Macaca fascicularis: one gene and its partner. The protein of the gene in region 1 interacts with the protein of each later gene in a biochemical or structural test. Links are inferred from orthologs where the notes say so. Each region holds a gene or a part of one and is shown on either strand. Other genes may lie near its edges.

Region 1 (3,637 bases):
TCTAACTTAAGTAGGGTTTTTTGTCTGTTCCATTTACAAAATGCTGCCAATACTCACTAAATTGATCATATCTCAATTTATTAAAGATAAGAATAATAGCTTTCATATATGCTGTCCTACATGGAATAAGGGAGTTAAAAAAAACTCTAAATTTTATTGAAAATTCAGATGCTCGATTTTTTAAACCAACAACTTTTAACAGTTAGTTTGTGCCCTAAAGAAATCAAGCAAAAAGATGTTTCACAGTTTGCATTTTACATAGAGTCAACTGAATTAGATTGAGAGGTTTCTATAAAATGGAGAATGTTAGACAATGGTTCACTGGTATATACGATAACCACATCTCAGTGTGGCAGAGTGAAGGGACAACGCCACACAAAGGCAGGACCCTGAGAAAGCTGAACATCTATATACCAGACTTTAAATAAAGAAGAAAATGCAGAGAACATATGTAGATATTAAACAATGAAATTTCCACAAATATGTGTTTCAGCTTGAAAGGGTGTTAGCAAAGATCCAAACGTGACAGCCTATTCTGCAGGTGGCTTATCATGCCTTTTAAGACATGCTTTCTATGAAAGATGAGGCATGGCAGTATTAAAATTTTGATTTTTACTTGAAATGCAGTTTATCTCTCTGAAATCTAAAACACACAATAGTTTTGTAAATGCCCTAATTTTAAAAAATAAGTATCAGCCAGGCATGGTGGCTCATGCCTGTAATCACAGCACATTGGGAGGCTGAGGTGGGCAGATCATGAGGTCAGGAGATTGAGACCATCCTGGCTAACACAGTGAAATCCCGTCTATACTAAAATTGCAAAAAATTAGCCAGGCGTGGTGGCGGGCACCCGTAGTCCCAGCTACTCGGGAGGCTGAGGCAGGAGAATGCCGTGAACTCGGGAGGCGGAGCTTGCAGTGAGCCAAGATCGCGCCACTGCACTCCCGCCTGGACAACAGAGCGAGACTCCATCTCAGAAAATAATAATAATAATAATAATATTAATAAGTATCAATTACTAAACATGTGGTTTGATAAGGTTAAGAAAATCAAACATGAAATTCTGTGACTCATTGCCTCAGGTCTATGAACCCAGGAAATAAATCATTGCTATAACAGAATTTTGTTTCCATTGAAATGCATATATTCAATGAAATCCATCTTAAAATTTGAGACTTTGTAAATGAAAAGGGCTACCTAAGCCACTTTGGGAGCAACACTGGTGCACATTTCTTCATTTGTAGCACCAGCTTCTGTTGACCAAGTTGATTCTCATACCTGGACTACTTGCCAGAGACAGGAACTTCTGTTCCTTTAGCAAGCTGTAATTCTTCAACAGATTTTCTGCTCTAGCCAGTTTGTCCTCTGCTAGTCTTTCACGAACACAAAGCTCCTGTTCTTTCTCTTTAAAAAGAGAATGGACAAAGAAAAAAAAAATTAACAAGTGACCTTCACTAAAAAACGATTTACATTTGGCAATCTTATCACTACTAGCATGCTTGATACTGATAAGCAATGTTTGGGGAAAGGATTCTCACTATGCCTCAGTCAAACTGATTGTGTTAGTTTTTAATTGAGTGTTTTAGTAGGCTGTATGTTTATCTTAGATTTTCTTGAAAGGACTTGTTTAAACAAATACAAAGTTAGCTTCAACCTTTGGTCATCTTTTGTGGGAGTAACTCAATTGGGAAAACAAAAAACTAAAGCTATCTCTGCTCTTCATTGAAGATAGGCAACAGCTAATTTTCAGGACATGATCTGGCCTCACAGTACAAAAATCTTCTTTTTTTCTGGTTGAATGACCACACTCAAATAAAAGAAAAAAAAAATGCAATTCAGTTAGGCGGTAGTTCATAGGATTAGTATTAATAACAAAGGTTACTATTTATTCATGGCCCAAAATTCAGAAAGTATTCAGATTTCAGTTGCTATATGAAATTATGGCTGGGCACAGTGGCTCACACCTATAATCCCAACACTTTGGGAGGCCAAGGCAGGTGGATCACCTGAGGTCAGGAGTTCAAGACCAGCTGGGTCAACATGGCAAAACCCCATCTCTATTAAAAAATACAAAAATTAGCCAGGTATGGTGGCAGGCGCCTGTAATCCCAGCTACTCAGGAGGCTGAGGCAGGAGAGCTGCTTGAACCCAGAAGGCAGAGGTTGCAATAAGCCAAGATGGTGCCACTGTACTCCAGCCTGGGCAACAAGAGTGAAATTCCATCTCAAAAAAAAAAAAAAGAAAAGAAAAGAAATTATGAAACACTGGGGAAAGTTATAAGAAAAAGTTTTCTTATTTTTTACAGAGGTTTCTATGTAAGTATAGGTTGTACCTATACAGTAAGCATATCTCACAGGACTATAGAGTATTTCATTATTTAAAGCCTGGATTAGGTATAAAGCTGCAGAAGTAAAATCAGGTGAGTCATGAGGGTGACAGGTGACAAATATGACCCATCTCTCATCTCCTGATGTTAAAATGAAGAACCTCACTCTGTAGCTACCTTGCGTAACCCTAAATGATTGCTAGTAGCTCTCATCTTGGTGGAGTAGATACACTTTCAACATCAAAACTAAATTAACACCTAATCAGTTAATACTCGTAAGTTAACGTTAATACCCACCAGAGTATTATTTATAGACTTAAAATATCTTGTATCTAGACTCTCTATTGAATTGCCTGAACAGACCAGGTGTGGTAGGTCACACCTGTAATTCCAGCACTTTGGGAGGCAAGGTGGGAGGATTGCTTGAGCTCAGGAGTTCAAGACCAGCCTGGGCAATATAGTGAGACCCCATCTCATTTTCAAAAATAAAAAGTTAAAAAAAAAGAAAAGAATTGCCTGAACATATCTCATCTACATACTGTAGGGTTTTAGACCTGGAATTCTGTTGGAGTGGCCATTTCAAAAGACAAAAGTCATGGTTTTTATTATGGAAAGCAGCAATTTTAAGACCTTCCTTTACAGTGGGAAAACATTAGGGTATTCATAGTAGAGATGAAAAAGAAAAAAGTAACTCTACAATAAAGTATAAGGCCATCACTGTTAAGGCCCAATATTATATAACTAGCAACTGATCTCAGAGAAAGACGTCCAACATGAAGGTGCTAGCAAGCCTGATTATTAAAAATCTACAATACATATTTTGGTTTCTCAAGTATTTTTAAAAGCTTCTAATAAGATCTGTATGTATAAAATATTCTGCTCAAAGAGATATTCAGACACATCAAAATAACCCCCTTGGTAGTTCTCCTTTGCTTTGACCCCCATTCAGACTTACGCTCCAATCTTTCTTCTCTTGCTTTGAGAGCTCGCTCTCGCTCCTGTAACTGAATTTCCTTTAGTTTCAGCTCACTTAATACAGGGCTGGAATCCTGCAATTTTTCTGGCTCTCCTAATTGTCGCCCTCTTCTCTCAAGATTTCTTCTTTGCTCTTCTGCAACCAAATCTGCTATTAAAGGGTTCTCGAGAATTTCTTCAACAGAAGGTCGATGGTAATCCTGGGGAAAAAATACGCAGTATATAATCAGATTGTGTAACAGAAGAGTTCTCCTAAGACAGCAGTTACAATAAAAGGACATATATGTATTTCCAAGACAAAAGAAAGGACTCCTTTATGGCTAGGTCTTAAACACT
Region 2 (4,397 bases), on another chromosome or scaffold:
AGAAAAGAACTGCAAAGTTAGTGACTAAGATCTAAACCAACATGCTGTTTTTCTTAAGACTTCACTTTTCAGTTAGCTTTTTAGTACTATTACTGAGCTACTTCTCAACTAGCTTATACTGCTCTCAAGCTTAAAAGATCAATTCTGAACACGTGAAAAAGTCTACCAAGGTCACAAAAGTCGTATTGCCTCTACTTTCAGATATACTTACATCTTAAAGCATTTAAGGGGAAAAAAAAAAAGGTTTTGGGGGCATTACGAAAAGCACAAAATTCAGGCCGGGCATGGTGGCTCATGACTATAACCCCAGAACCCAGGGAGGCCGAGGTGGGAGGATTGCTTGAAACCAGGAGTTTGAGAACAGCCTGGGCAACACAGTGAGACTCTCATTTCTATTTTAAATTATTACATTTAATTTTTTTAAAATAAAAAACTTGTAAAGCACAGAATTTATTACCAACATCATTTAACTTAGATATCTACATATCCTCAATGGATCATCTTCAAATGTTTCTCTGCCAATTTAACACCCACGAGAAAAAAGGAAATTTAAGTATACTTTGCAGTTAGCCTATTCCCAAGGCATTAAAATGCACTGCTTTATTAATTTCAGCAAAAAAAGAAATATAAGAAAACCTGGTTTTCAAGTGCCATATAACAAGAGGAACTATTAAGAAACAATGATCTCATTTTAGATGTATCATTATTTACTAGGCAAACTACTTATTAGGATTGTAATGATTAAAATTAACAAAAGCTATTTATGAATACAGAGGCAGTTATGGGCAAACCAGAACTTAAATTAGCAAGCCTTAGATGATCTTAAAATTCTAATTTAATTAGATTTAAAATTCTAATGTTTCTAATCCATGCAAATTCCAACTTTTCCTGTTTCCTCAGAGAAATAAAGCCACACATATCCCTGCAGAGATAAGCAGAATTTTAAAATTTAGAAAGAAAATATTTAACAAAAAATTCTTTTCTTACAGCAAACTATTTTAATCAGTTTCTGACCAACTGCTGCCTCAAATAAAGAACTATATTAACTAGCATGAAAAAATATGGTTCTTATATAAATACCTGACATTAAAGGAATGACAAGGTTTTCACCTACAACACAAGGTTTTCACCTGCAATAACATTTCAAGAGCATTTCAGGGGTCCTTAATGACATTTAGTGTTTTTTTTAAAGACAGCATAAAAGGAAAGAATGCACAGATTAAGAAAAGGACGAGATATTTTCAGAGTTTCATTTTAATAACTTACTTTAAAAGATCTGCAAATTCTAACACTAGAGCTGTCATGCCCTCGACTCCACCACTCACAGCATTTATAGTCCAGTAATATTTTAGGACTATATAAAGGCAAAAAGCAGTTAAAACTGCCAAGTTCCCATTATGAAGTGTCCAAGTTAAGGGGTATGACTGAATTCTTACAAAGTCTTGGATAAGATGTTAGCATCTGTTGACATGCCCTTGAATCTGAAAGCAGCTCATTTCAGCTTCCGTCTTTAAAAGCTGAACCTCGCCCCTCTCCCACATCAACATGAATCAATTGCCAGGCACCTCACCAGTCTTAGATGAGCCGAAATTTAAACCTTTCTATTAACCTTTACTAAACCACTGGCCCCCTTCCTTCAGTGTTGTCTGTAGCGAGTTTTACTAGCTCCTGGCTATCTGGGTTTGAAACCCAATTCACTAACTGTGTGACCTTGGTTAAGTGACTTCATCTCAGTTTCTTCTGTAAAATAACAAAAACAACAAAAAAAAAATGCAAATATCTTGCAATGGGTGGGAGAATATGAAATCTGTGTTAAGTGCTCAAAGAATGCTTGACACACAGTAAGCCCTTTAGAAGCGCCAGTTATGATTATTACAGTAATAATTTCATGGACGCAAAGTGCTCAAGACAGAGCCTGGCACATTGGAAAGATAACGATACCGTCAGCCTTGCTGACTTCCTGTTCAGATGCACGTTCAGGAAAAGAGCGCGGAGACCTCTCCAAGATTAGAATAACTTAAAACGATTTGGAGGGCAGGCGAAGACAGGTTCTCACACCTCTTGAGACATGAACGCTTGTTACCAAGTAACAAGAAATGGGCCCCCCAAGACCCCAGAACCACGAAAAATAAAAGCAAGCAGGAAAAGAGCCCCCAAACCCGGTGGAACTCACGCCCTCATCAAACTGCCTTCCGTGAGGACGAGCACCGAAAAGTCCATCTCGCACAGTACGGCGCACGCCGTCCAGGAGGCTGGACTGGGGCCCCCAGCCCAACAATCGCTCCAAAGACCCGTCTGGTGTGCGGGGGCAAACGGGTAGAGGCGGGAAACATGGGGGTGGGGAGCGGAGTTTTCAAATTCCACGGCCGGGAGAAAGCCTGCATCCTCGTGCAATGAATGAGTGGAGCCTGGAGGGTCCGCGGCTGGCGACAAGTTGGGGATCCCGGGCTGGCCTCCCTCCAGCTGCAGCCCCCGGCCCGTGGGCCAACTCGAGAAGCTCACTTCCCACGGTGCTGCAAGCCCAACCGGCCTCCCAACTCCCCTCCCTCGAGCCCCCGGGGCCGCCTGCCGCCCTCGGGCCCGCCTCCCCCTTCAGCCGCCCGCCGCCCCCCTTACCTTCCAGCAGCCGTTGGATGATGCTGTCGATGTTGAGTTTGTCTAAATCCGCCATCGCCTTCCCACCGCCGACCCTCCCGCAGCGGCGCCGCCGCCGGCTCGCGCCCGGGACTCACACCTCCTTTCCCACGCCACGAGCAGAGGCGGTGGTGGCGGCGGTGGCAGCAGCCGCGGCGGGTCCCCCCCCTGCCGCCCCGCTCCCTGCTTCCTCCTTCTCTCCCCACTGGAACCACGAGAAGAACAAAATGGCCGCCGACTCCTTAGACAGCCTCGGGCGGCGCACGGATGCGCGCGGGGAGTGCAGCGGCCCGGCCGGGACTTCTTTATGGGCCATAGGGCGCGCGGGAGGGGGCGGGGCCCGGGCGCGGGAGGGGGCGGGGCCAGGGCGCGGGGCGGGGCGGAGATGGTTGAGCGCAACTGCGTCCACGCGCGGGATCCTTCCGCCAAACGGGCCGAATAAATAGGCCCGCCCCCGACAGCGGGCCCGAGAGTGAGTTGCAAAGTTGCATGCGGGAGTTGGGGCTGGGGGAGGAAATGCAGCTGTGCATACTGCCGGTTGCGGCCATCGCCGGATCTTGTACGTTGAGGCTAGACGTTTGCAGACCTGGCCATGTGGGAACTCACCGAGGGATTTCGGGGGTCCTGGAATTTACCCTTTAAGATAAATCTGGGGTGAGGATGGAAAAGGAGAATAATAAATAAAAGAAGGTTGACTTATTTTGGATTAAGATATACTGGAACTTGGGAGAAGAGAAAGGTTTATTTGGTAACTAAAAAGAAAAAACCCTCTTCGAGATAAGTCAAAATGTAAGTTACTCTTTGTGAGTGGTGGGTGTATGGGTATTTGTATATATATATTTTTGTGCACTTCTGTAACTTTACTTTGGAGGTAAAAAATCCGTCCATAAAGAAAATTTCATCATTTCTCTCCCTTGGATTTCTCTTTCCTGAACTCGGAAAGTTATATAATCATCGGGACGGTTATCCCGATTCTAGCCAGGGCGAAGTTGAACGAGCGCGTGCAGCAGTTGAAAGGGGAATTTGCAGATTTCACGCGTGCAGGCCAGGGGCGGGAAGAGAAGAGGCAAGCTGTGCGGGCGGTCCTGGGTTCTGCAGATACCCGAAGAAACTTTGGCCCATTCCTCTCTGGCTTCCCAGCCTCCCCGAGTGCACGCCTATCCAAGGGGTCCCCAAACTGTGCCACCTCCAGGGGCTGCGCATCGACTTTGGCCGCGTTTAGAAGTACAGCCCACACTCAGCAAACAGATCGGCTCTCTTTCCTGACCTTTCCATGTATGTTGCTTCCTGCAGCGCTTTACATTTTGCAAAGCCCTGTCTCTCCGAGAAATTCATTTTGTTTCCCAATGAATGCAGGATGCACGAATCCCCATCTCAGTATGCCACGAGGTAATTGCACCACCCAGGCATCCTCTTCCAAAGCAATATCCTCAGGGTGAGGGCTCCATGTCCCCTCAGTTGGGCCCCCTCGCTACTGGTGCAGGGCCCTTGAGTTTAAGAACTCAGCCTCTCGATCCACTTTCCTCAGGCACCAACTCACTTTCCCCTGCTACAGCTCTGTCCACCAGAAGTCACATAAGTGCCATTTGTCAGGGCAAGGCAATGAGCCCAGCTGGTGACATTTGGAGTTGGTGCCCAGCGCTGCTGTGAACATCTGACTGTGGAGGTCAGGGTGGCTCTTGCTGGAGTCCACAGGACTTTGGGCTACTCCAGGGCAGGGCGCATCATCGGAATGGCATTTAGAGTAGAAATATGAAAGACAG

The links.
Region 2: the proteins of NEK2 (region 1) and PPP1CC interact in far-western blotting, tested with the Homo sapiens proteins (2 studies listed by BioGRID and IntAct). The link is inferred for Macaca fascicularis from reciprocal best matches to the Homo sapiens genes NEK2 and PPP1CC.

The regions. Positions count from the first base shown.
Region 1 is NC_088375.1:69,478,747-69,482,383, forward strand, and holds part of NEK2 (serine/threonine-protein kinase Nek2), read right to left. Parts: intron 3,502-3,637; coding exon 3,282-3,501; intron 1,405-3,281; coding exon 1,279-1,404; intron 1-1,278. UniProt on the Homo sapiens protein: Protein kinase which is involved in the control of centrosome separation and bipolar spindle formation in mitotic cells and chromatin condensation in meiotic cells.
Region 2 is NC_088385.1:117,624,312-117,628,708, forward strand, and holds the start of PPP1CC (serine/threonine-protein phosphatase PP1-gamma catalytic subunit), read right to left. Parts: upstream 2,856-4,397; 5' UTR 2,672-2,855; coding exon 2,617-2,671; intron 1-2,616. UniProt on the Homo sapiens protein: Protein phosphatase that associates with over 200 regulatory proteins to form highly specific holoenzymes which dephosphorylate hundreds of biological targets.